Tamandua tetradactyla: one gene and its partners. The protein of the gene in region 1 purifies or fractionates together with the protein of each later gene. This does not show direct contact. Links are inferred from orthologs where the notes say so. Each region holds a gene or a part of one and is shown in the gene's direction. Other genes may lie near its edges.

Region 1 (7,343 bases):
CAATCCCCTGATGCTGAGTCTCAGCTCATTCTAGAGGTTTTCTCAATCCCTTGATGCTGAGTCTCAGCTCATTCCAGGATTTCTGTCCCACATTGCCAGGAAGATCCACACCCTTGGAAGTCATGTCCCATGTAGATAGGGGGAGGGTGGTGAGTTTGCTTGTTGTGTTGGCTGGAGAGAGAGGCCACATCTGAGCAACAAAAAAGGCTCTCTTGGGGGTGACTCTTAGGCCTAAATTTTAAGTAGACTTGACCTATCCTTTGTGGGGTTAAATTTCATATGAACAAACCCCAAGACTGGGGGCTCAGCCTATAGCTTTGGTTGTCTGCACTGCTTATGAGACTATCAAGAATTCAACTTGGGGGAATTGAATTTCTCCCCATTTTCCCCATTCCCCGAAGGGGACTTTGCAAATACTTTTCCACTCACTGATCGAAGAACTCTGGGATTCATCCAGGCATCACTCTGGACAAACCAACAAAATCTCATGTCTTACCTGAGATTCCAAGTACTTATGCTGTTCAATCAAACTATCTACATAAGTTATATTAGGAATTGCACTAGTCAAAATACAAATTTTGAACCAAATAAACATTTTTTTTGCTTTAGTCTCACACATAAGGTGACATTTTAAAATATTAATTACCATCTATTTTCAGCACCCTGCAATAATGACATTCCTTTATTCTTCCTCATGCAAAAACATTTTTAAAATTTGTACATTTAGGCACTATTATTATACACTCTAGGCATTCCTAGATTATACCATCTCAATCTTTAACATCTATCTTTCTTTCTGATTTTATTTATGTCCCCAGCCCTCCTCCCTCTACACTCAGATGAGTAAAACATATAGATTAAAAATAAACAATAGGGGGACCAAATGGTAAAATTAAAAAATATATATTGGATAGATGGAAATACTAGTGATCAGTGAGAAGGAGGGGAAAGGGGTATGGTATGTATAAGTTTCTTCTTTTTTCTTTTTATTTCTTTTTCTGCAGCGATGCAAACATTCTAAGAAATGATTACAGTGATGAATATACAACTATGTGATGATATTGTGAGCCACTGATTGTACACCATGTATAGAATGTTTGTATGTTAAGAATGTATGTGCTGCCGGCCGGCGCCACCGAGGTTAAACCCACGGAGGTGGTGTCGGGCGGCGGGGGCGATAGCCCTCTTGCTGACCTCAGTGGCAATGGCCGTGTTTCACGACGAGGTGGAGATCGAGGACTTCCAGTATGACGAAGACTTGGAGACGTATTTCTACCCCTGCCCATGTGGGGATAACTTCGCCATCACCAAGGAAGATTTGGAGAATGGGGAAGACGTGGCAACGTGCCCTAGCTGCTCTCTCATTATAAAAGTGATTTATGACAAAGATCAGTTTATGTGTGGAGAAACAATCCCAGCACCTTCTACCAACAAAGAATTAGTTAAGTGCTAAAGAAGGCTATAAGAATTCAAATCTCGAACTACCGAGAATGAACTAAGATGGAAAAATCAAATGCAAGGTTACAGACCTCTTCACAAGGACAACCTTTTTTTGTGGTTTGTTGTTCTGTTAGATTGTGGATTCTTTCATCAACTGCTACGTTCACCTTCAATTAAAGAAGCAACCCACAGCATGACATACCTGGATTTCAGGTATAAAACTTTGAATTGCAAGTGTTCTTAAGTTTCCATCCAAATTTTTAAAAAGGTGTTGATATTATGTTAACTCCTGCTGATGTTGAATTTCAAACAAGAACAGACACCCTTGAAGTAGGTCTATTATGAGCTCAGAATAATGGGAAGAAAAGTTGCCAGAGTTGAAACACCCCAGGAAAAAAGAAGCGTAAACGACACTAGGCAATCAGTGATGGGTGGTGAACTGCAATAGTCCGAAAGATTTTGTTTCCACAGAACTAAATCACCAAATATATTTGTGAACTACAAAAGGACCATCAGAATTCAATCTAATGTTAAACAAAGTAAAACCAGGGTCTTTTTATGTATGACTAGAGTTCCATGTGATATATGTGCCTTATTTAGCCCAACAGATATTTTTGGAACCTTCCTAAGAAGCAATTTGTAGGCTAGGCTCTGCTTCTTACTAGCTTTTGTAATCTTTGACAATACCAGTGGATTCCTATCTGTATAATTAGTTGATAGGATCAAATGATTACTGAATTGTCAATTCTATAATGTCAGATTTGGTAGCCTGCAGGTACTGAAATGGCATCTGAAATCTTTATAAATTCAAACTATCTAAATCATGATTTATAGCTAAAGAGACTACTTTTCAAAAATTTCATGTTACCGCACTTGGATTGGAAAATTATGAAGGACAGCTGTTTAAATGGTTCTACAAAAGACTTTAGTATACACCTCCAGTGTACACCTCCTTGGAAAGCACCCAACATTTTTTGATAACTGTACATACTAATTTATTACCATGATAAACTATTGGTATGCTAAATAAAGTCAGATAAATCAAAAAAAAAAAGAATGTATGTGCTTGTATGTTGCTGTTATTAATAAAAATTAAAAAAAAAAAAGAAGTATGTCCTTTATTCTTTTAGGGTAGGTCTGTTTTTCAGTAATCTCAGTTGTTTGATATTTTCTTCATTTTATCTTTACCCCTAAATGATAATTTATCTGTGCATAAAATCTTAGTTTCACACTTTTGTTCCTCAGCATTTTAAGGCTAACAGTCCATTGTTTTTGCTGTTCTGGTCCAAATTTTGTATCAGACTAATTGCTATTATTTCATAAGAAATTTTCTATTTTATACTTGCTTCTCCCAGTTGCCCTGGGGTTCTATCAGCTCTGGAGAATTTTATATTAACTTTTTCCTTTGGTTGGTTCCTGTACTCTGCAAATTGTAAAACTGAACCTTAAATCCCGAGTGCAGGTCCACAGTTAGGAATTCTGAGGGATTTATTATTTATCTATTCCTTTATTTATTTACATCTACATCCCACCTCAAGGAGCTCAGGGGCTGAGAGAAAAGTTTCATTGTTCCTTCCCAGGACAGGTGTATTTTTCGTATTCTGCGCTTTTACATTTTTACTGAGCAAGTAGTTCTTCAAAGGTCTCAGTTTTAAAAAGGGTGGGGAGAAGGTGTTCCCATTTAGGCCACTTAGTGAAGAAGGTCCAAGGCCTTGTCTCTTGACTTTTAGTGGCTTTTAAAGGCACTTAACCAGACCTACAACCTCCTCTCTTGGCTCCTCAGTCCTGACATCATCTCAAACTCATTGCTGGGTGATTTAGTTTCCTGTTCATTTTTTGGCCCCTGCAGATTTCTCTTATTTTTCTGAGAGTTCAGCTACAAACTTAAAAGAATGCTTGCAATGAGTTGGCAGCATTTCCAGGTGTTTTATTCTCAGGTTTGTGCCTGCTACCATGCCTCACATCCTTTCTTTGCACAGGTCACAATATTTTCGATTAGGATTTGCTTTCTTTTACACCAATCATATCCTTCTGAAACTACAACCCTATACTAACCTTGATTTAACTCGGTTATTTCTCAACTCTCCCCAGTCGCACATTAACAGACTATTTCTTAGGTTGGGTCAAATCTGCAGATGACCTAAACTGAGGCTCTTTAACTTTATTTTCAAGGAGAGAAAATCATCAGCTTTGAGCGCGTCCCAATCATAGAACTGTATTTAAGAATACTTAAAATTATAAAAGTAGCAAATATTCTTTGTTTAAAAATAGCAAACCCTCATTTTAAAAGTAAGGAAACTAACTGGAATCCCGAGGAGGGAAATATGTGGACATATTTATTGAAAGAAAGCAGGTTGAAAAATTGTTTATTAAAACCCCGCTATAAATCCCCTCTATTACCCATGCTTTCTTGGCTTGAAAGGGTTCTGGCATTTTCTTTCTGCTGTATGGGATTGCTGCACCAGTTGACTAAGCAATTTAAAATTCAGAGGTTGGGTAATCGGAAAGAAAGTTGCTACAATGCCGATAATGACATTTGGCTTTTGATGGGACCTGCAAAATAAGAAAAAATACACGGCCATCGGCAGCTGGATCTATCAATAAAGCTTGTGAACTTGAAACGCGAGGAACCTGCTACCTGCCGAGACCGAGGCTGCCTCTGGAAACCAGGAACCAATACCGCATCTACAAGGTTGGTCTTGGAGCTTGGAGAAGGGGGAGCCATAGGTTGTAAAGAAGGATTCGGCGAGCAGGCAGCAACGGAACAGCCAACCCGGAGGGCAGGGAGAACGCTCCGGGACAGGCCGCGAGGTGCGCCTGCGCACACCGCGCAGCGGACTGGGGGGGCGGAGCATGGGGGCAGTCAATGAGCCTGCGCAAACGGCGCGGCGAAGTGGGGGAGGGCGGCCCGTGTGTGTCTGTGTTGTTGTTCGGCGGCAGCGGCGGCGGCGGTAAGATGGCTGCCCACGGGGGCTCCGCGGCGTCCTCGGCGCTGAAGGGGTTAATTCAGCAGTTCACGGCCATCACCGGTAAGAGACGCGGTTACCGGAAGGTTGAGAGTGGGGTCCGGAGTGGGCGTCGCGTCTGCCCCGTGCTTTCCCCTACCTTCCTGCATTCCTCCCTTGGGTTTTACTCACAGCTACTGTCCTCCCTCTTGAGGAAGAGGCGACGTCGGTGGGGTCTCCGGGTTAGGCGGGAGACAGACGTCCCCTTTTACCCCCCTTCTCGTTCCCTGTACCCTTGTTCTCGGTTTCCTTGCAGTGTGGAGGGAGACCTCTAACCTATTGCCAGCCCAGTCCAGGCGAATGGGCCGAACTCATCCGCCCCCGCCGGCCCGGGGACCTGGGGGCGGGAGGAGTGGGGGGCCGCACCCGGGCCACCGCCCTCCTCCTCCTTCATCATCTCTTGTCTGTGCAGGCTTCGGATAGAGTGTATCACCTCACCTCCTTTCTCCTTTCTTCCCGGGCCGGGTCATTCGCTCCCGCGTCCCTGGCCTGCCCTTCCCCTTTCTGGGCCCCTCCGAGCCATCGCCATGGCCTTGGTGTGTTCGGGCCCTCCCGCCTTAACGGCGATGCTGGTGGGTTCGGCAGCGCCTTTCCAGATCCCCGGGGATAGGCCGCCAGAAAGAGGGCTGCTGAGGAGTAACCTTAGGGCCTGGGGTTTTAAGAGAAGAGTGAGGGGGGAATCCCCCTCTCTCCAAACTGGATTCTGGAGGCCTGGACGGATACTGGGAGGCGTTTCCCACCTCCCCATAATAAAATCATAAAGACCCGAGTAGATGGCGCCGGGGCCTCCTGCTGCTAAAATAGGGATGGCGGCGGAAACTTCTCGGAGAGGGAACCTGTTTCTGGGTGTCAGTATCCCCAAACCCAAGGCCCAGGATTTCCTGTTTTTTTGGACCCCTGTGAAGGGCACACGAGATCTTCTTTCAGCCTGGAGAAAAGGCCCTGTGCCATTCTGTGAATTCCCTGTGTCTTGTTTCTCTCTGATGGTGCTGAACTTTTTTTGCATGAGTTATTAGAGGGCGGAGCAAATGATGAAGTTCTCTGTGGAGTGATTTGAGAGAAGAGTAGTCCATGTGCCTGAGTGTGGTTTTGCCGTTCTCGTTTGTTATTTTAGAAGGAGGTTAGAATATTAGTTCTTTCCTTTAGTAGTTACATATTTAATCTGGTCATTTGTTAGATGCAGAGAATATTTAACGTCCTCAGAGTTTATCATGCAATATCTGGTTAGATAAAATTTTGTCTTAACCATTACAGATTGTGTGGAAGTTACCGTTTTATAATTAAAACTAGTTTTATTTTTTACTCTGTGGTTAAAACTAGATGTTCGATGCATTATCTAGCTTGTGGGCGTGAAACACCACGTCAGAGTTGGTAAAGTAAAATTTGTAATGGCGTTGAGGTGGGGAATGGGATAATATTTTTCATAATTTTTTTAAAATCTTTTGCTATATATTAAAATGTTATGCATTTCCCAGTATCTAAATCTTTGTTATGGGGAATCTTTGAAAAGTATTGTGTATGTAAGTTAACATTGCTGCATATGTTTATATAGAAAAATCCTTGTAGAGAATCAGATATAGAAGTGAATATCCATTATTAATCTTTCCTTTAGAATGCCTAGTGATTTAATTTAAAGTCCCACTTATTTAATTTCAGTTTATGTTAACCCCTTCAGAAATTCAGATTGCCTTAACCTCACGTTGTCTTCTAATTCAACATTTTTGTTAGAGTTAGAAATCAAAGTGTGCCAAATGGATTTGACTGAGTTTAGCTTTTCTGTTTCTGTCAGTCTTCATTGCTTGTTTCTTGGTCATAGGCCTTTCTATTCTTAAATCAAATTGGCATCCCTCAGTAGACAGTGGTTATATGGAAATCTACAAAAGGGAAAATATCTTAGATTGTTCTTAATGTGTTGTGAATTTCTATTAATAATTTTGGGGATTCTTTTTATAAGATAATGATTAACCATTAGAAACACAGGATTGAACCTATTCAGCCTTTTTTCCACATATTTTACAAATACATTTTGGTGTTATCTCTCCTGGTATATATTTGAAATTGTTGTGCTTATGATATAAAGGTATTTTTTTCATTGCTGTATGAATCAGACTGATCTTAAGCACTTATGCTCTGATTTCAGAAAGATTTTTTTATATTTGGAAGCTCATTAATTTGATAAAAGCACTGCATCTTCAAAAATGCTATCAATCTACCAATATGGCATTTAGAAATAGAAGAGAAAATTTTAAGATTTCTTGTAAAGTCTTATTTCTTACTAAATAGAACAAATTTCTATAATACTTGAGTTTGAAATAATGAATCTGATTTAAGAAAATTATTAAAAAGATATCATGACACATGAAATAATTTTGAAAAAAGGGGGCAAAAACTAAACCTCCACTGTCACAACAGCAGTATTATTTATTTTACATTATGTTCCAATTCTTTTTCATATACTTATGTCTACATTCTGGATCCTGTTGTACATAATTTAGAACTCTGAATTTTTTCAGTTAGTATTACATCATAAAACATTTTTTCCATGATTAGTCTTTAATAGAGTAGTTAACAAAACGTTGTTCTCTGAATCACATTGAAAAGCTGTCTACCTCTACCATTGATGCCTTCAGAGTCATTTAAACCTACGTAAGATCAGTCCTGTTACTTTATAGTCATTTATTTTATGATATTATTCCACTTGATATCTCTTGATATTCATAATACATGACTTTGAATGACTTCTTTCAGAAGTCATGTCAGTTCTCAAAGCATGAAGAAAGAATGTGCTGCTGGATCTGAAGGTAATTCCAAAGCAGCAGTTTTAAAAATATTTTTTAACCATGACAGTATCCCATTAACACAAACTTGGGCTGACACCCAACCATATATACAAAATGC
Region 2 (7,633 bases), on another chromosome or scaffold:
TTTTGCATGCATTATTTATTTACTCTTTACAACAACCCTGATGTCATAGTAGCCATTTCAGATGAGGAAGCTGAGGTATGGAGCAGTTGAGTAGCTTGCCTAAGGTTACACAGGGATAAAGTGATGCCAGAACCCCTCTCTCCAACCACCATGCTAAAACACCATTTCCTCACAATCATATGTACCTCAGCCAGAAATGCTTTCTTCTGCCACATTTTGGTACACAGTTTTAAGAACCCACAGACTACATAATGCAAATGGTTAAAAATAAAAATTTACAATTCTAGGGTTTTATTAAGGTTCCTTGAAAAATATAGCATTGAGCCACCTATGTATCTAGGGTGAAGTATGTCTTTTATCTGAAGTTAAATAGATATCTAATTACGTATAAATAGGTTTGCTAAGAACAGTCCTGTTGGAAAACTTTCCTCAGCCTTCCTATTCCAGGTCTCTCTCAATAGGGAGTAAAATGGCCCAGGTTGCTAAAAGCAGTTGGTATACCTGTGGATCAAGGTTTGTTTTTTTCTCCTATTTTTCTCTCTTGACATTATAAAGTTTATATGACCTGACATTTTGTGACTTTATCTTTTTAATAACTAGAGTATGATCATGATAAAATATTTAGAACCAGTCTAGTGAGGTATACAGTTATATTAATAGCTACTATTTGTTGGTTGCTCACTATATTTGTTTTCTAGGGCTGCCTTAACAAAGTACCACAAACTGGATGGCTTAAAACACTAGCAATTTATTTTTTCACCGTTCTGCAAGTCCAAAATCAGGGTGTCAACAGGGTCATGTGCCGTGTGAAGGCTCTAGGAAAAGACCCTTCCATGCTTCTTCCTGCTTCTGATGGCCCAGGTGTTCCTTAGGTTCACCTTTGGCAGCATAACTCCAACCTCTGCCTGTTTTCATGTGATCCTTACATGTCTATCCTCTTATAAGGTCACCCATTGTTGAACTGAATGCCAACCCTAAATCCAGAATGATTTCATCTTGAAATCCTTAACTAATTACATCTGCAAAGACTCTCAATTTCCACATAAGGTCATACTTTGAGGTTCCAGGTGGACATGAATTTTGGGGTAACACGCCTCCAGGTTTGAAAAGACACCTGCACCAGCTGCAGCCAATGTATTGCATTCTGTCTCTAATATCTAAGCCAAACATGTTCAGCTGCTGGGAATACATTACCTTCTTATTTTGAACTGGTAATGTTTTCAAGCAACTTCTTTCTAGGGCTTCTCCTATTTTAGGGGGCCATGCAAAATGAGGATTATACCCTTTTCACCTGATGAAGACAACATTCATGCCCATGTTTTGTTTCTGAATGCAACTTTCCCCATTATTTCATTTGTACCTTAAGATTTTGAATGCTGGCTATTCAATTATACAGCTTTTAGTCCTCTTAAAGTGTGAAGCTGAACTGGATTTCCCATGGGAGGTCTAAGTTAGACCGTGTGGAGCCTTCACCCTTGCTGGGTGATGACTTGAGATTTTTCTACTAATGCATCTTTGTTTTTCCAGGGCGATACAATTCTGGAGACTGGAGAAGTTATTCCACCAATGAAGGAATTTCCTAATCAACATCACTGAAGATTAAAAATTTCAAAGGCCCTGTGAGGCTAAATTTTATCCTCCAGTTCCATATTTACTGAATTGTTTTCTGGAAAAAATTTTATTAAAAGTTTACTCTCAGAGATGTGTTGTCATATCTCTTTCCATACACTGTATAGTATGAGACACTTTGAGTCATGTAATGATAAATAAAAACTGAACATGCAAAGCAAAATGATCTGAGTAATCATCTACTTTTTTGTGGCCATTTCTGAGTTGGAAAACAAGATGCAGAAAAGTATTCAGTAAAGACAGAATTTTTCTTAGAGACTTAGTCCGGTCTGGTATGAGAATGCAACAGAGACATGTTGCCATAAGCAAATATAAGAATATAAACTCCACACACTTGTTTTAAAGGAGAGTTTCTACGACTTCCAAGTGTTTTAGAAACTCTTTATTAAAATTCATGTCATTCCATCTATGACCTGATACTCAAAGGTTATCAGACCTAGTGCTTTGATTTTGATGAGAATGTAAAAGACAATTCTAAGTCAAAAAAATCGTGGTTATTATAAAAGACTATGCCAAAATAAATTTGGAAGCTTATATTATGGATTTTGCTTTTAAATGCAAACAGGTGACAGGTAAGCATGAGGTAAAGAACTGTATTAAGTCTAAAGCAATTAAAAATCCTCATTCATCCCGAATATTCTGTCTGGGTATTCCTTCGTTAGTTGTCGTCGCGCAGCTACAGTACACGCATAAATGACAGATCCCCAGGAGAGTAAAACAATCGCAAGGAGGACCTAAAAGATAAATGCAAAAGGGGAGAAACGAAAAAAAAAAATTAATGGGCGTGTCCTTTCCTCACATTCCCCCCACCACCAGGTTACCGCGTAGCTTGGCTAAGGTGGGGGTTATAGTGAAAACTCGAACAAATGGGATTCCTGAGACGCGTACCCTCCGCAGCCCTTACGTAAGAGGCGGAAGATCGTGTCCTCCAGGAAGAGGCGGAGTCGAAGTGAAAGAGTGAAAGGCTTAATGCAGGAAGGGATTTTGGAGTTTCTGGGTGTTGAAGAAATCGGGGGCCTACCGCGCGCAGGCCCAGGGAGTCGACACCGTGGAGCCCCGCCAGGCCCGAGACCTACCATTGAGTAAATCCAGTCCAAAGTGCGGCGACTCACTGGCTCCATGGTAAGGAGGCGGCGGCGGGCAGCGGGAACGGGCGGTAGCTGCGGGCTCTAGATCGACCTCCGGGGAGGTGGCTGCGGGACTCGAGCGGCCTCTCGCAGAGGGGCACCGGCGCCCGCCCACTGGCCTGCTGGAGCATTTCCTATCCGCCGGCCCGCCCTCTTCCGCCCGGAGCGGGGGGCGGAGTCACGTGGTGGGGGCCCTAGCCCGCCTTTCAGGAAAGGGATGAAATAAATGAGAAAAGATTAAAAATTGCCTTTTTGTCGCCTAGGTAAATAGGCACACCTCTTCAGTGTGTCTTCCCAGCTGCAGTCCGATATTAATGCAGGATAATGTACAGTCTTGCACGTTTAAAAGTTTACCTGAAAAAAAAAAATCCTCCTTTTAAATGTTGCATCGGCATCTAACTCCCGAGTATGAACGTTTCCCGCGCATCTGTTCCCACTTAATATATGTAAACGCTTGTATATTCGGCTTTAACGTAAAGCTACTATTTTATGTAACAGTGATGAAGGTCTTTGAGAACGCAATTGCTTGTTGATGGAAATGTTATTTCTAAGAAAAACGTGGCACGAGTTACGTGGTATAATGCACCAATCTTTCAACAAGTGTTAGTTGAACAATATGTGACTAGAAAGGGAATACGCTTCAAATGTTAAATCCTAAGTACGGCAGTTTGGCACGTGGACGTTTGTACCAAGTTCAACTATAAAATGTTTGGGACGCTCACATTTGAGGTCTGAGTTGTACAATCTTGCAATAGACTGCTTTGGGTTTAGAGGCTTTTTCTCTGTAGATCACACATGTTATCTTAACAGGGCTTAATCCAAATGGGGAGTAGGAAGGGGGAATGCAGTGCTTAAAAAAGGAATTAGTAGTTTTTGTTTGTTTGTTTGTGTTTTTTGTTTTTTCCTTTTTTATATATATTTTTATTTTTTATTTTTATTATTTTTATTTTTTTCTCTATATTATCATGCTGTATCTTTTTCTGTTGTTTTGCTAGTTCTTTTCCTAAATTGATGCAAATGCACTAAGAAATGATGATCACACATCTATGTGATGATATTAAGAATTACTGATTGCATATGTAGAATGGAATGATTTCTAAATGTTGTGTTAGTTAATTTTTTTTAATTAATAAAAAAAAAACTGGTGATTCTGAAGAGCTGAAAAAAAAAAAAAGGAATTAGTTTTGGGAAGAGTTCAGATCCTGTTCTGTTAAGTCTTGACCACTTCTCCCCAGACTGGAGTAAATCTCCCTGAAAGCTGCATAGGATACTGATTGGGCTCCGGCTTTGGATCCCATTCGAATCCAGGTGTTGTTTCTTTGGGGCGGTGCAACCGGTGGTGAAGTCACACCGCTGTTAACAGCTCCCTATGTATACAATGGAGATAATTTTAGCAACTTCCAGCAAGCGTTTGATGAAGTTTAAATGGGACCAAGCTAAAACATTGTCTAGTTATTGTTTTCCGGTGCCTTAGAAGCGAACATTAACTTAAGGCCCCGGCAATTCCCAGTGATTAATAATAACAAAAATGATGACGGTGGTAGCAATTTCTGTTTTGGAGGGTTACTTTGCTCCCCTTAAGGGATTGGAGGGCTGGGGGAGGGCCGCATATCCGGCCGCAGCACGCTAAGCCCCGCCCTTAGTGCCAGCGCCCTTCTAACGCGCAGGCGTTAAGAAGGCTGGTGCGGTGTTTTGACGCGCCAGAGGCTCGGGGGTGGGGTCTCGCTCGCTGCTACCGCCCCCAAACTGCCATTGGTGATGAGCACTTTACGTCACAGGGGTCGAAGCAGCCGCCAGTGTCTCCGCTGTCTCGCGAGGAGGGTGAAGCGCCCCTGCCCTCCCCGCTTCCTGAAGGTAGGCGGAGAAGTCGTCGGGTACGCCTTCGCGGATCTTGCCGTCACCGTCCCAGCTTTCTGGGCCGTCGGGAGCTTGCCACGAGCGCCCCAACAGGGCCTGCGCCAGCATCCTCCGAGGTGAGTGAGTGAGATCGGGAACAATGGGGCTCGGGGGTCGGAGGACTGGGCGAGCTGGAGCGGGGCCCAGGGACTTGGGGGTGGCGATCTCGGCCTCAGGCTGCCCGGGCCTCGGCTGGGCAGGGGTCCCTGCAGGCGGGAGGCCTCTGCCGCGCACCTGTGGATCTGTCCCAGTGGGTGGGAGAGGATTGCGTTTCTGTGGAAGCGCTCTCTAGGGGCACGAGCCTAACTGCGTACTGGAAGAAGCCAGGTCTCTGGAAAAATAACCGCTGAAGTCTGAATCTTGGCATCGCCCCTGAAAGGGTATGTGACCTTGGCTAAGTCCCCTCACCTCTCTGAGCCTGTCTGTAAAATGGGAATCACAGTATTGAGGTTCCTTGTGGTTATGTAATACATGTAGTGTTTATCTTAGATCATGATCCTTGGAATTCTTAACCAAAGGAAGCGGCGACCACCGTGACTGATTGAGTTGTCTGTGCAGTGTTCTGTGCATTCTGGGCTGGACTTGCCTGCCAGTGACTTCTTTGATCCATGTAAACAGGAAGCTTTCCTCATGGGCTGCTGATTCCTAGGCTGTAAGGGGACAGTGCCAAGATGAGCCAGATAGGAATAAAGTGAATTAAGTTTTTGGTGGGTAATTTTCAAGATTATTTAAGGTAAATTAAGAAACAGCTACCCAAGATTAAGCTGAAACATAGTGAGTTTTTTAATTGAAATGCAAGGCTCTATAGTCAGCCCAAACAAACATGCTTATCTGGAAAGAATGGCTATAGAGGGGAATGGTTCCCAACTATTTTTTTTTAATTGCTGGATTGGAATTAAATTTGATAGGTTCTTATCAGCAGACCCTGTAACTTCTGTATCATCAATTGGAATTGGTGATTAAACTGTAGCTCAGAAAGTTACAGTGATTTCCTTGAGGTGATGAGAGATAGTACTCAGATTTTTTTTTTTTTTTTACATGGGCAGGCACTGGGAAGCGAACCCGGGTCTCTGGCATGGCAGGCGAGAACTCTGCCACTGAGCCACTGTGGCCCACCCTCAGAGTATTTTTTATGCCTGGGTGTGTATTTCTATTTTATTCACTTGTGACCTTCCTAACTACTTTGCCCATATATAGTATTATAATTATATTAAATATGAAGATAATTTAGAGATTGTCATCTTGATTCAGTCATTAAAATGAATTCAAAATATAGATTATGGACACTATCATTACTTTCACATAACAGAGGGGAAGAGTGCTAAGTTCTTTCTGTGTACCAAACACTGTCCCTTGTTTACATGGACTGTATCCTTTTACACAGTAACTTTTCAGATGGGTACTGGTATTTACCCCATTTTAGAATTGAGAAAATCTAAGGAGGTTTTGAAAGATTAAACAGCTTCCCCCAAGGTCAGCAATTAGTAAATGGTGTGTTTCTCAACCCTGGCTTTGCATTAGATTGATACCACTCTGCCAAAGGTAATCAGTAGGTCGTTAATTTTTATAATAATTTAAGGAATTCTGTAGAATATGACTTATAGGAAGTCAGTCTTTATAAAAAATCTAATTCTACAAGCAGCTCTACTTTGTTGCTATCTCTGTACAATTTTTTAATATCTAATATGACCTTTAGCCTCCAACTTACTGATTCTTTATCCCTCTTGTTTTCCTAGATAGGTATGCTTGTTGATTATCTGAAATTCCCTCAAATTTGACATGAAGGCTTCTTATCGTTGTTAAAGCCAATAGATTTGAAGATTTAGGTATGGGGTTTGATTTATTCCGTTTAACCTAAAGATGGTAAACTTTACAATTTGGGAGAAAGTTTAGGAAGCAGGATCAGGAGAACTAATTTATCTTCTTGCCTATGAGAAAGTTAATTTGTAGTCCAAATTCCTAGAGTGCTAAAGTAAAGGCGCTTGGAACCTGAAGTATTAAATGTGTCTACCATCGTGTCTGTTTTTGCTACCTAATCCCAGAATCTCACCTGCAAATCTCTAACTTAATGTGTCTCCTAGCCATCCTTGTTTTATGCATTAATTTGTTTTTTTAGCAGCTTTATTAGGATAAAAATTTACATTCTGTAAAGCTCAACAGTTTAAAGTCTGTAATTCACTAATTTTTAATACATTTACAGAGTTGTACAATGTCACATATCTTAATTGTAGAACATTTTCATCGTTCCAAAAAGAAACCTTCTACCAACTCCTCATCATCCCTACCTCCACCTGAGGCAACTTTCTGTCTATAGATTTGCCTATTCTGAACGTTTGATTTAACTGAGAGTTTACAATATATGGACTTTTGTGACTTTTTTTTTCATTTAGCGTAATGAAAAGGCTCTTCCAGGTTGTAGCGTGTATCAGCAGTCAATTCTTTTTATTGACAGAATACAATCAGAACTCTAATTTATTTGTTCTTTTTTTTACCTACTGATTCTTTAGCTTATGTTGTCATGGTGACTAAAAGGCTTTGAGACTAGGGAAGGGAAGACTAAGATTACATTTTTAAAATATACTTAGTTGATTTTGTTTTATTTGAATTTGATTTTACTGCCTAAAAATTTCCTTTAATAAATTCATCCTGGGTTGTCGTTGTTATGTGAACTAGAACTGTTCATTAAACACTAAAATTGTACATTCCAAAGAACCAGGTTAAGATGAAATGTAATAATTTGAAATTCACCAGTCTTTTTTCATGGCTGTAACTGGATACAGTTTTTGATTTACAACTGAATTTAACTGATATTTGCTAATCTATGACTCGGTAGGAGATTTTAAAATTTAAGTCTAATAATCCCTTCATTTTATGGAGGAGTAAACTAAAGTCCATATTGAAGATTTTCCTGGTTTGCAGAACTAGTTTTAGGTGAAGCCTAGTCTTCAGTCCAGGTCTTCTGATAATCTGTCCAGCTCCCT
Region 3 (7,063 bases), on another chromosome or scaffold:
TCCTTCTTGTAGTATAGTGGAATAAAAGGAAAACAATGTCTAATAATGTGTTTGACAATATGCCAGTGCCCGGACCTGACTACAATGGGAGATGAAATGAAGAAGGCCGACCCTGGCCCTTACAGAGAACAAGTAAGTTTGGATAGAAGAGAAGCAAAAAGAGGTGGGCAATGGTGGCTCAGTGGCAGAGTTCTTGCCTGCCATGCTGGAGACCCAGGTTCAGTTTCTGGAGCCTGCCCATGCCAAAAAGCAAAACAAATAAATAAATAAAAATGATCATATGTTAAGAATGTTTGTGGTTCTTTGCTGTTATATTTTTAAAAAAATTAAAAATTAAAAAAAAAAAAGATATCCACAGGATGATACCTTCTCTGAAGACAGGCTGTCAGCATCTGGGGTTCCTCTGTCAGACAGCATGCCAGTGTGAAGCTATTATGCACCCCAGAAAAGCCAGGCCCTTTAATTTTCGTTCAATATTGCTGGAATTTTTTTTGATTGTTCCCATGGAGATATTCCCCCCCAATTGTGGGTGGTAACTGTTGATTAGTTGGTGTCCATGGAGATGTGTCTCCACCCATTCAAGATGGAGTTGCTTATTGGAGCCACAAGAGCCCAGGCAGCGAGAGACCTTTGGAGATGGAGAAGTAAAATGCCCCCAGGGGAGCTTCATGAAACAAGAAGTCGGGAGAGAAAGCCAGCAGACATCACCCTGTGCCTTTCCAGATGATAGAGCCATCAGCCTTCTTGAGTCACAGTGTCTTTTCCTGGATGCCTTAATTTGGACATGCTATAGTCTTACCTTCATTTGGACATTTTCACAGCCTTAGAATGTTAAACTTGCAACTTAATAAATTGCCCTGTTTGAACGCCGTTCCAGTTCTGGTATATCACATTCCAGCAGCTTGCAAACTGGAACAGATAGTGTCTACTGGTCCTTTGCTCCCAGGTTTTGTTGCTTTCAGCTTCTGGTTCCAGTGGCCTCTCTCTGAGCTTCTTGGGTCTTCTCTTGGCTTCTCTGGGGCTTTTCTCTCTGTGCTCATTCAGCTTTTTCTGTCCTTTATCCTCTCATAGAGGACCTGAGTAAATGGATTAAGACCTACCCTGAATGGGGAGGGTCACATCTCAATTGCAACAACCTAATCAAAAGGTCCGAACCACAACAGGTCTGAACCCAGAGGAGTGGATGAAAAGAGTATGGCCTTTTCTGGGGGTACATAAAGCTTCAAGCTAGCACAAGCTATCTGCATCGTTGATTTGTGTGTGACCCTGCTCAAACATCACCTCCTCAGAGGGGTCTTTCTTGACCATTTTATGGCCAAAGACTGATGGTTCCTTGTCATCGCATGTTTACACACTGATCTGTTTATAATCTGCCTCCCACTGGTCAGTTCCGTGAAGGCAGGAATCTATCTCATTTCTGTTCTATCCACATCATGGGATCTTGTCAAGCACAAAGTAAACCCCAAGTAGATATTTGTTGCTGGAAATGAATAAGCCAAGTTAAGTAACAGCTTAAACTGAGGTCATAGAACAGGATGTAAACATTACAACTCGTGAAGATACATTTATCTAAAATACAATTTAGTCTTCTGTTAAATTCAGGAAGATACCTTAAAACATATATATTTTTTTAATAACTTGAAGGTGTGCCCTCATTGTTCTGAATGATTCCTCTCTTTCTGCGGGAACAGTGAGATGTTTGGGACACTGTTCCACAAATGTAGCCCAACTCCTTATTTCCAGCTGAGATTTGGGATGCTTGCTTTTGTTTCCTCTTTGCACTTTTTAAAAAAAAAAACTTTTTTATTAAAAAAGTAATAATTTTCAAAGCACACTTCAACAACTAGTTACAGAACATGTCCCAGAGTTTGTCATGGGCTACCATTCCACCATCTCGGATTTTCCCTTCCAGCTGCTCCAAAACACTGGAGACTAGAGGAATTTGAACAGTGAATAGGGAAGTATTTGCAGAGTCCCCTGGGGTAATGGGGAGAAAGGGGGAAAATTCAACTTCCCCAAGTAGAGAACTCTTGATATTCTCACAGGCAGTGGGGATAGCCAAAGTAATAGGCCGAGCCTCCAATCTTGGGGTTTGTTCATATGAAACTTAATCCGCAAAAGATAGGCTAAGCCTACTTTAAATTAGGTCAAAAAGTCACCCCCAGGAGAATGTCTTCTGTTGCTCAGATGTGGCCTCTCTCTCTTGGCTGACACAGCAAGCAAACTCACTGCCCTCCCCCTATCTACGTGGGACATGACTCCCAGGGGTGTGGACCTTCCTGGCAACGTGGGACAGAAATCCTAGAATGAGCTGAGACTCAGCATCAAGGGATTGAGAAAACCTTCTCGACCAAAAGGGGGAAGAGCGAAATGAGACAAAATAAAGTGTCAATGGCTGAGAGATTCCAAACAGAGTCGAGAGGTTATCCTGGAGGTTATTCTTAAGCATTAAAGAGATATCACCCGTTTAGTTAAGGTGTAATGGAGAAGCTGGAGGGAACTGCCTGAAAATGTGGAGCTGTGCTCCAGTGTGACTGTGTGGTTGTGAGAGCCTGTGTTTGATGCTCCTTTTGTCTACCTTGAGGGACAAGTAAACATATTGATTAAAAATAAATAAATAATGGGGGAACAAATGTTAAAATAAATTTAGTAGACTGAAATGCTGGTGATCGGTGAAGGGGAGGGGTAAGGGGCATGGTTTAGTATGAATTTTTTTCTGTTTTCTTTTTATTGCTTTTTCTGAATTGATGCAGATGTTCTAAAAAATGATCATGATGATGAATAAAAAAAAACACTGGAGACTAGAAGGAATATTAATACAGTGATTCAGCAGTCATAGTCATTTGTTAAATCCTATTTTCTCTGTTATACCTCCTGCTTCACCTTTGATTCTCCCCCCAATCTGTACGGAGAAGGGTAATGTCCCTTCTGACATTTTCATGTTGAGAAGGGGCGTCGACACTAAAGATAGGGGGATGTAATCAATTGATAATGTTTGGAGAGGCTGGTCCCTCTAGGTTTCAGGATTTATTTGACCCAGGAACCCTCCAGGAATTATAGATTCCAGGAGTCTTTTTAATAATGAGCATATGAGACTCAGCATCAAGGGATTGAGAAAACCTTCTCCACCAAAAGGGGGAAGAGAGAAATGAGACAAAATAAAGTGTCACTGGCTGAGAGATTCCAAACAGAGTTGAGAGGTTATCCTGGAGGTTATTCTTACACATTAAACAGATATCACCTTGTTATTCAAGATGTAAAAGAGAGGCTGGAGGGAACTGCTTGAAAATGTAGATCTGTGTTCCAGTAGCCATGTTTCTTGATGATGATTGTGTAATGACACAGCTTTCACAATGTGACTGTGTGATTGTGAAAACCTCGTGTCTGATGCTCCTTTTATCTACCTTGTCAACAGACGAGTAAAACATATGGAATAAAGATGAATAATAGGGTGAACAAAAGTTAAAATAAATTTAGTAGATTGAAATGCTAGTGATCAATGAAAGGGAGGGGTAAGGGGTATGGCATGTATGAATTTTTTCTGTTGTCTTTTTATTTCTTTTTCTGAATTGATGCAAATGTTCTAAGAAGTGATCATGATGATGAATATGGAACTATGTGATGACATTGTGAGGTACTGATTATATATGTAGAACGGAATGATCATATGTTAAGAATGTTTTTGTTGTTATATTTAAAAAAAAATTTTAACAAAAATGCAACGAAGATTAAAAAATAATAATAATAATGAGCATAGCCACTCACACACCCACAACCAAAATCACGCTTCCATCAGTTTTCTCCATCATCCGCGCGGTGGAGGCCCGCGGACACACACCGGGCGCGGGAACTCCGGGGCGTGGCCGGGCAGGGTGAGGAGGCGGGGCTCCAGGGGCTGCGCGGCGGCGCCTCACCGCGCCTGCGCGCAGCCATTGGTGGGGCCGGAACCTCCTTTGCGGGACTGCGCGCCCGGGGGGAGCGTATTGAGCGAGGCACTCGCCCACGGCGGCTGGTGGAGTCCGGGCCCGCGAAGCTGGAGCGACGGTGGCGGCGGCGGCGGGAGGCCGGGGCTGAGGCCGGGGCCGGGGCTGCGAGGCCCGTGGGGCGGCAGGCTGCGGCTGCGGCCTGGGGCTCGAGCCCAGAGGGAGGAGCGGCTGCCATGGCCGAGAGCATCGTGAGTGGTGGCGGCCGGGCGGGAGCCGGGGCGCCGGGATGAGGCAGCAGATTTGCCGGCCGCGGCCTGGGGCGGAGGCCCGCCGGCTGGCTCTGCGACCCGGCCCCTTTCCCCTCCCTCGCGTTAAGGCTCTCCCCGAGGTGCCTGGGCTCTCCCCCGGGGCGGCTTTCACCCCCCTCGGCTTCTGTCCCTCTCCGACCCCAGCCGGGAGATTCGCGACTTGGGTTCCGCACCCCGGGCCGGGCCTTCCTGCACGGAGCGTCGGCTGTGCTGAAGGGAAACCGTCTTCCCCCCTCGCCTGCCTCCCTGCCTCGGGCAGACTTCGTGGGCTTTATTTGAAGGCCCCTCAGAGGCCGGGTTACGACTCCCCCCTTAATCTCCTTCCACTCTGCGCCCCCACCCCCACCCCAGTAAGTGCCTTGTCATGAGTCACTGGAAGGAGAGCAGGTTGTACGAGCGGAGCGCTGCGGAACTCCCTCCCCACGAAAGGAAAATACGGCGGCTTGACTAGTTTTTTGCCCCTCGGTTGTAAAGAAAAGTTGACAACTGCCTGTTTTAAAAGCATATTATGAAGAACCTTGGTTTCACTGTTGACCAGACAGGAGGAATTGTCTCCTCCCCCCCCTCCCCAAAATAAAAAGTCAGTGAAAGTCAGAAACATCTGTCCTTGGTTAACTTGTGAAAAGTTTTCCCTCAAAAGCAAATGTGGTAGGAAAAGTAACAGACTGTTCAGATAGAAGAATTTCGGTTAGCGTTAAATGTTCGGGATTTTCAGGGGAATCAAAGCAGTATCGGGTGACCAGTTATGGGCACGCTTTAGCACCTTTATGGCCTCTGAAGTTTTGCCAGGTGTTGTGTCCAGAATGGTGGGTTACTTGTGTCCAGATGTCTCGGTTCTGCAGGAAGCTCCAGCCCTTGGGCAAGGCTTTTCTCTAATTCCTACCTCTCTTAACTCGAGCTCATTGGAGGGACCCTGGAGCCTCCCCATTGTTTCCCACCTGGAGATGAGCAGAAGGAACAAATGGCCCAAGAGAAATTTGACTCCTTTAAAAATAAGATTTGCTAATCACTGGGGAGTTCTAGAAATAGATAAGGAATTAGCACTCATATCTGTTTTCAGACTTTCTGTTATTGTAATATTTTAAACTGAATTGAAGAAACATAAGCAAGTGGTTTCAGACAAGACCCATTTCCCACTAGTATATATACAGCTAGGCTTTTGCTCATAGCTTGGTACCTTACAGAATTTCTTAGGTTGTGAGGAATTAAAACAGACCCTTCTTTTAAAATTGATTTCCAAAAGCTTTTTGAATTCAGAAAGAGATCTTTTTTTTTTTTGGCATGGGCAGGCACCAGGAAAGGAACCTGGGTCTTCGGCAGGGCAGGTGAGAACTCTGCCTGCTGAGCCACGGTGGCCCACCCAGAAAGAGATCTATTAAAACATATGTGCATATGACTGATTTTATCTCACCAGTTCTTCAACACCCCATTATTCTTGGGCCATTTTCTTATAAATACAAAAACCTAAGTTATTAAGAGGCTATGTGTCCATGTTGCCAGGTCTGCCTTGTCTTGTGTATTTCATTGTGTAGCCTGTGTCACAGTACAAGCTAGTACTTATCTCAGTTCAGGTTGCATTTGATTTTGTTGTTAAATACTGTGTGTGTCTCAGAAACCTAGACTGCCCTGCCCTGTTGTAGACAATCAATGAGAATGACTTAATATCTTTGTAGAACTCCTCAGAATCATGTAAGCCTGACATTCAGCTCCTCAAATTGCTGAGTGACGTACTCTTGTTCCTAAATGATCAAAAGGACATTTCACAGAACCCCCTGCAGAAAAACAGAGTCCTTCTGTTCTTGTGTCTTAGTGCTGGAGACAGATTTCTGAAACAGGTACAGAAGTATTCACTTAATGCATTGTGAGAACCTTTCTTAGGTATGAATCAAAAATGAAGTGCACCAGAAATCAAAAGAATTAATTCAGAAGAACTAGTTTGTACTTGCTCTTTCACACAGAAGAGGGGAAAAAATTAAACATAGTTTAAGAAACAAAAAGATATAAAATATGTTAGGCCTTTTTTTTTTTTTTACATGGGCAGGCATCAGGAATCGAACCCGGGTCCTCTGGCATGGCAGGCAAGCATTCTTGCCTTCTTGCCTGCTGAGCCACTGTGGCCCGCCCTAGGCCTTTTTTTTGATGTTATACCTTTAACAGTTGGAATAGTCATAGGGACCATTCGAAACAGCCCTAATACTTTGAGAACAGTAAGGTAACTAAGGTCAGGTAAAGCTTGTTAGAAATTTGAGAAACAGGGCCAGGCTTTTTTTAAAAGGAAAATTTAGATTATTCTTAATTAGTTGGATCCTAAAGCAGAGGAAAGTTCAGTAGACCTTGAGCTTTTGTGGTATTTTGTCACATATTGGACACTGGCCTTGTGACATTTGGCATCTCAGTGCTGCTGCATTAATGAGAACACATAGCACGGTGAGGACCTTCTGGCATGTACTCCTCTGTCTGCTCTCTGCATCCCTCGAGGTAGTTGGCGCAGCGGGGTGTTGGCAGCGGGGCGTGCTGCTTCATGCTTCCTGACAAACGTAGAGACTTGTACAGTTGGCCAGGGTGCTAATGACACTTCTTCAGGAGGGCTTCCATTACAATAAAAATCAAGCTCTCTGTCCGATGGTCTTCAGGCCTCGCACCATTTCGGACTTGCCATGAAAATATTTTTTAAAACTCATGCTAAGTTTTACTGTGATGTTAAAGGCATTCATTTCTTTAATTTTTTAAATTAAAAGCAAATGATGAATTAGAAGATTTCTTTTGATTCTTTTAAGTCAAGCTAATGTCTGTGTATAGATTTGGTAACAGTGAAATCTTTAAGGAACC

What was found.
Region 2: the proteins of UBXN7 (region 1) and TOPORS purify together in Homo sapiens (affinity purification with mass spectrometry; 4 studies listed by BioGRID and IntAct, with this or other methods). This does not show direct contact. The link is inferred for Tamandua tetradactyla from reciprocal best matches to the Homo sapiens genes UBXN7 and TOPORS.
Region 3: the proteins of UBXN7 (region 1) and NPLOC4 purify together in Homo sapiens (affinity purification with mass spectrometry; 3 studies listed by BioGRID and IntAct, with this or other methods). This does not show direct contact. The link is inferred for Tamandua tetradactyla from reciprocal best matches to the Homo sapiens genes UBXN7 and NPLOC4.

What each region holds. Positions count from the first base shown.
Region 1 is NC_135336.1:17,370,598-17,377,940, forward strand, and holds the start of UBXN7 (UBX domain-containing protein 7), read left to right. Parts: upstream 1-4,340; 5' UTR 4,341-4,396; coding exon 4,397-4,469; intron 4,470-7,343. Other genes in the region: diphthamide biosynthesis protein 3, read left to right, coding at 1,205-1,453. UniProt on the Homo sapiens protein: Ubiquitin-binding adapter that links a subset of NEDD8-associated cullin ring ligases (CRLs) to the segregase VCP/p97, to regulate turnover of their ubiquitination substrates.
Region 2 is NC_135328.1:63,333,507-63,341,139, forward strand, and holds the start of TOPORS (E3 ubiquitin-protein ligase Topors), read left to right. Parts: upstream 1-4,621; 5' UTR 4,622-4,729; intron 4,730-4,763; exon of another isoform or gene 4,764-5,032; intron 5,033-7,633. Other genes in the region: NDUFB6 (NADH dehydrogenase [ubiquinone] 1 beta subcomplex subunit 6), read left to right, coding at 1,528-1,596; SMIM27 (small integral membrane protein 27), read right to left, coding at 2,241-2,363, 2,706-2,750. UniProt on the Homo sapiens protein: Functions as an E3 ubiquitin-protein ligase and as an E3 SUMO1-protein ligase. Probable tumor suppressor involved in cell growth, cell proliferation and apoptosis that regulates p53/TP53 stability through ubiquitin-dependent degradation.
Region 3 is NC_135332.1:73,880,594-73,887,656, reverse strand, and holds the start of NPLOC4 (nuclear protein localization protein 4 homolog), read left to right. Parts: upstream 1-4,051; 5' UTR 4,052-4,159; coding exon 4,160-4,174; intron 4,175-7,063. UniProt on the Homo sapiens protein: The ternary complex containing UFD1, VCP and NPLOC4 binds ubiquitinated proteins and is necessary for the export of misfolded proteins from the ER to the cytoplasm, where they are degraded by the proteasome.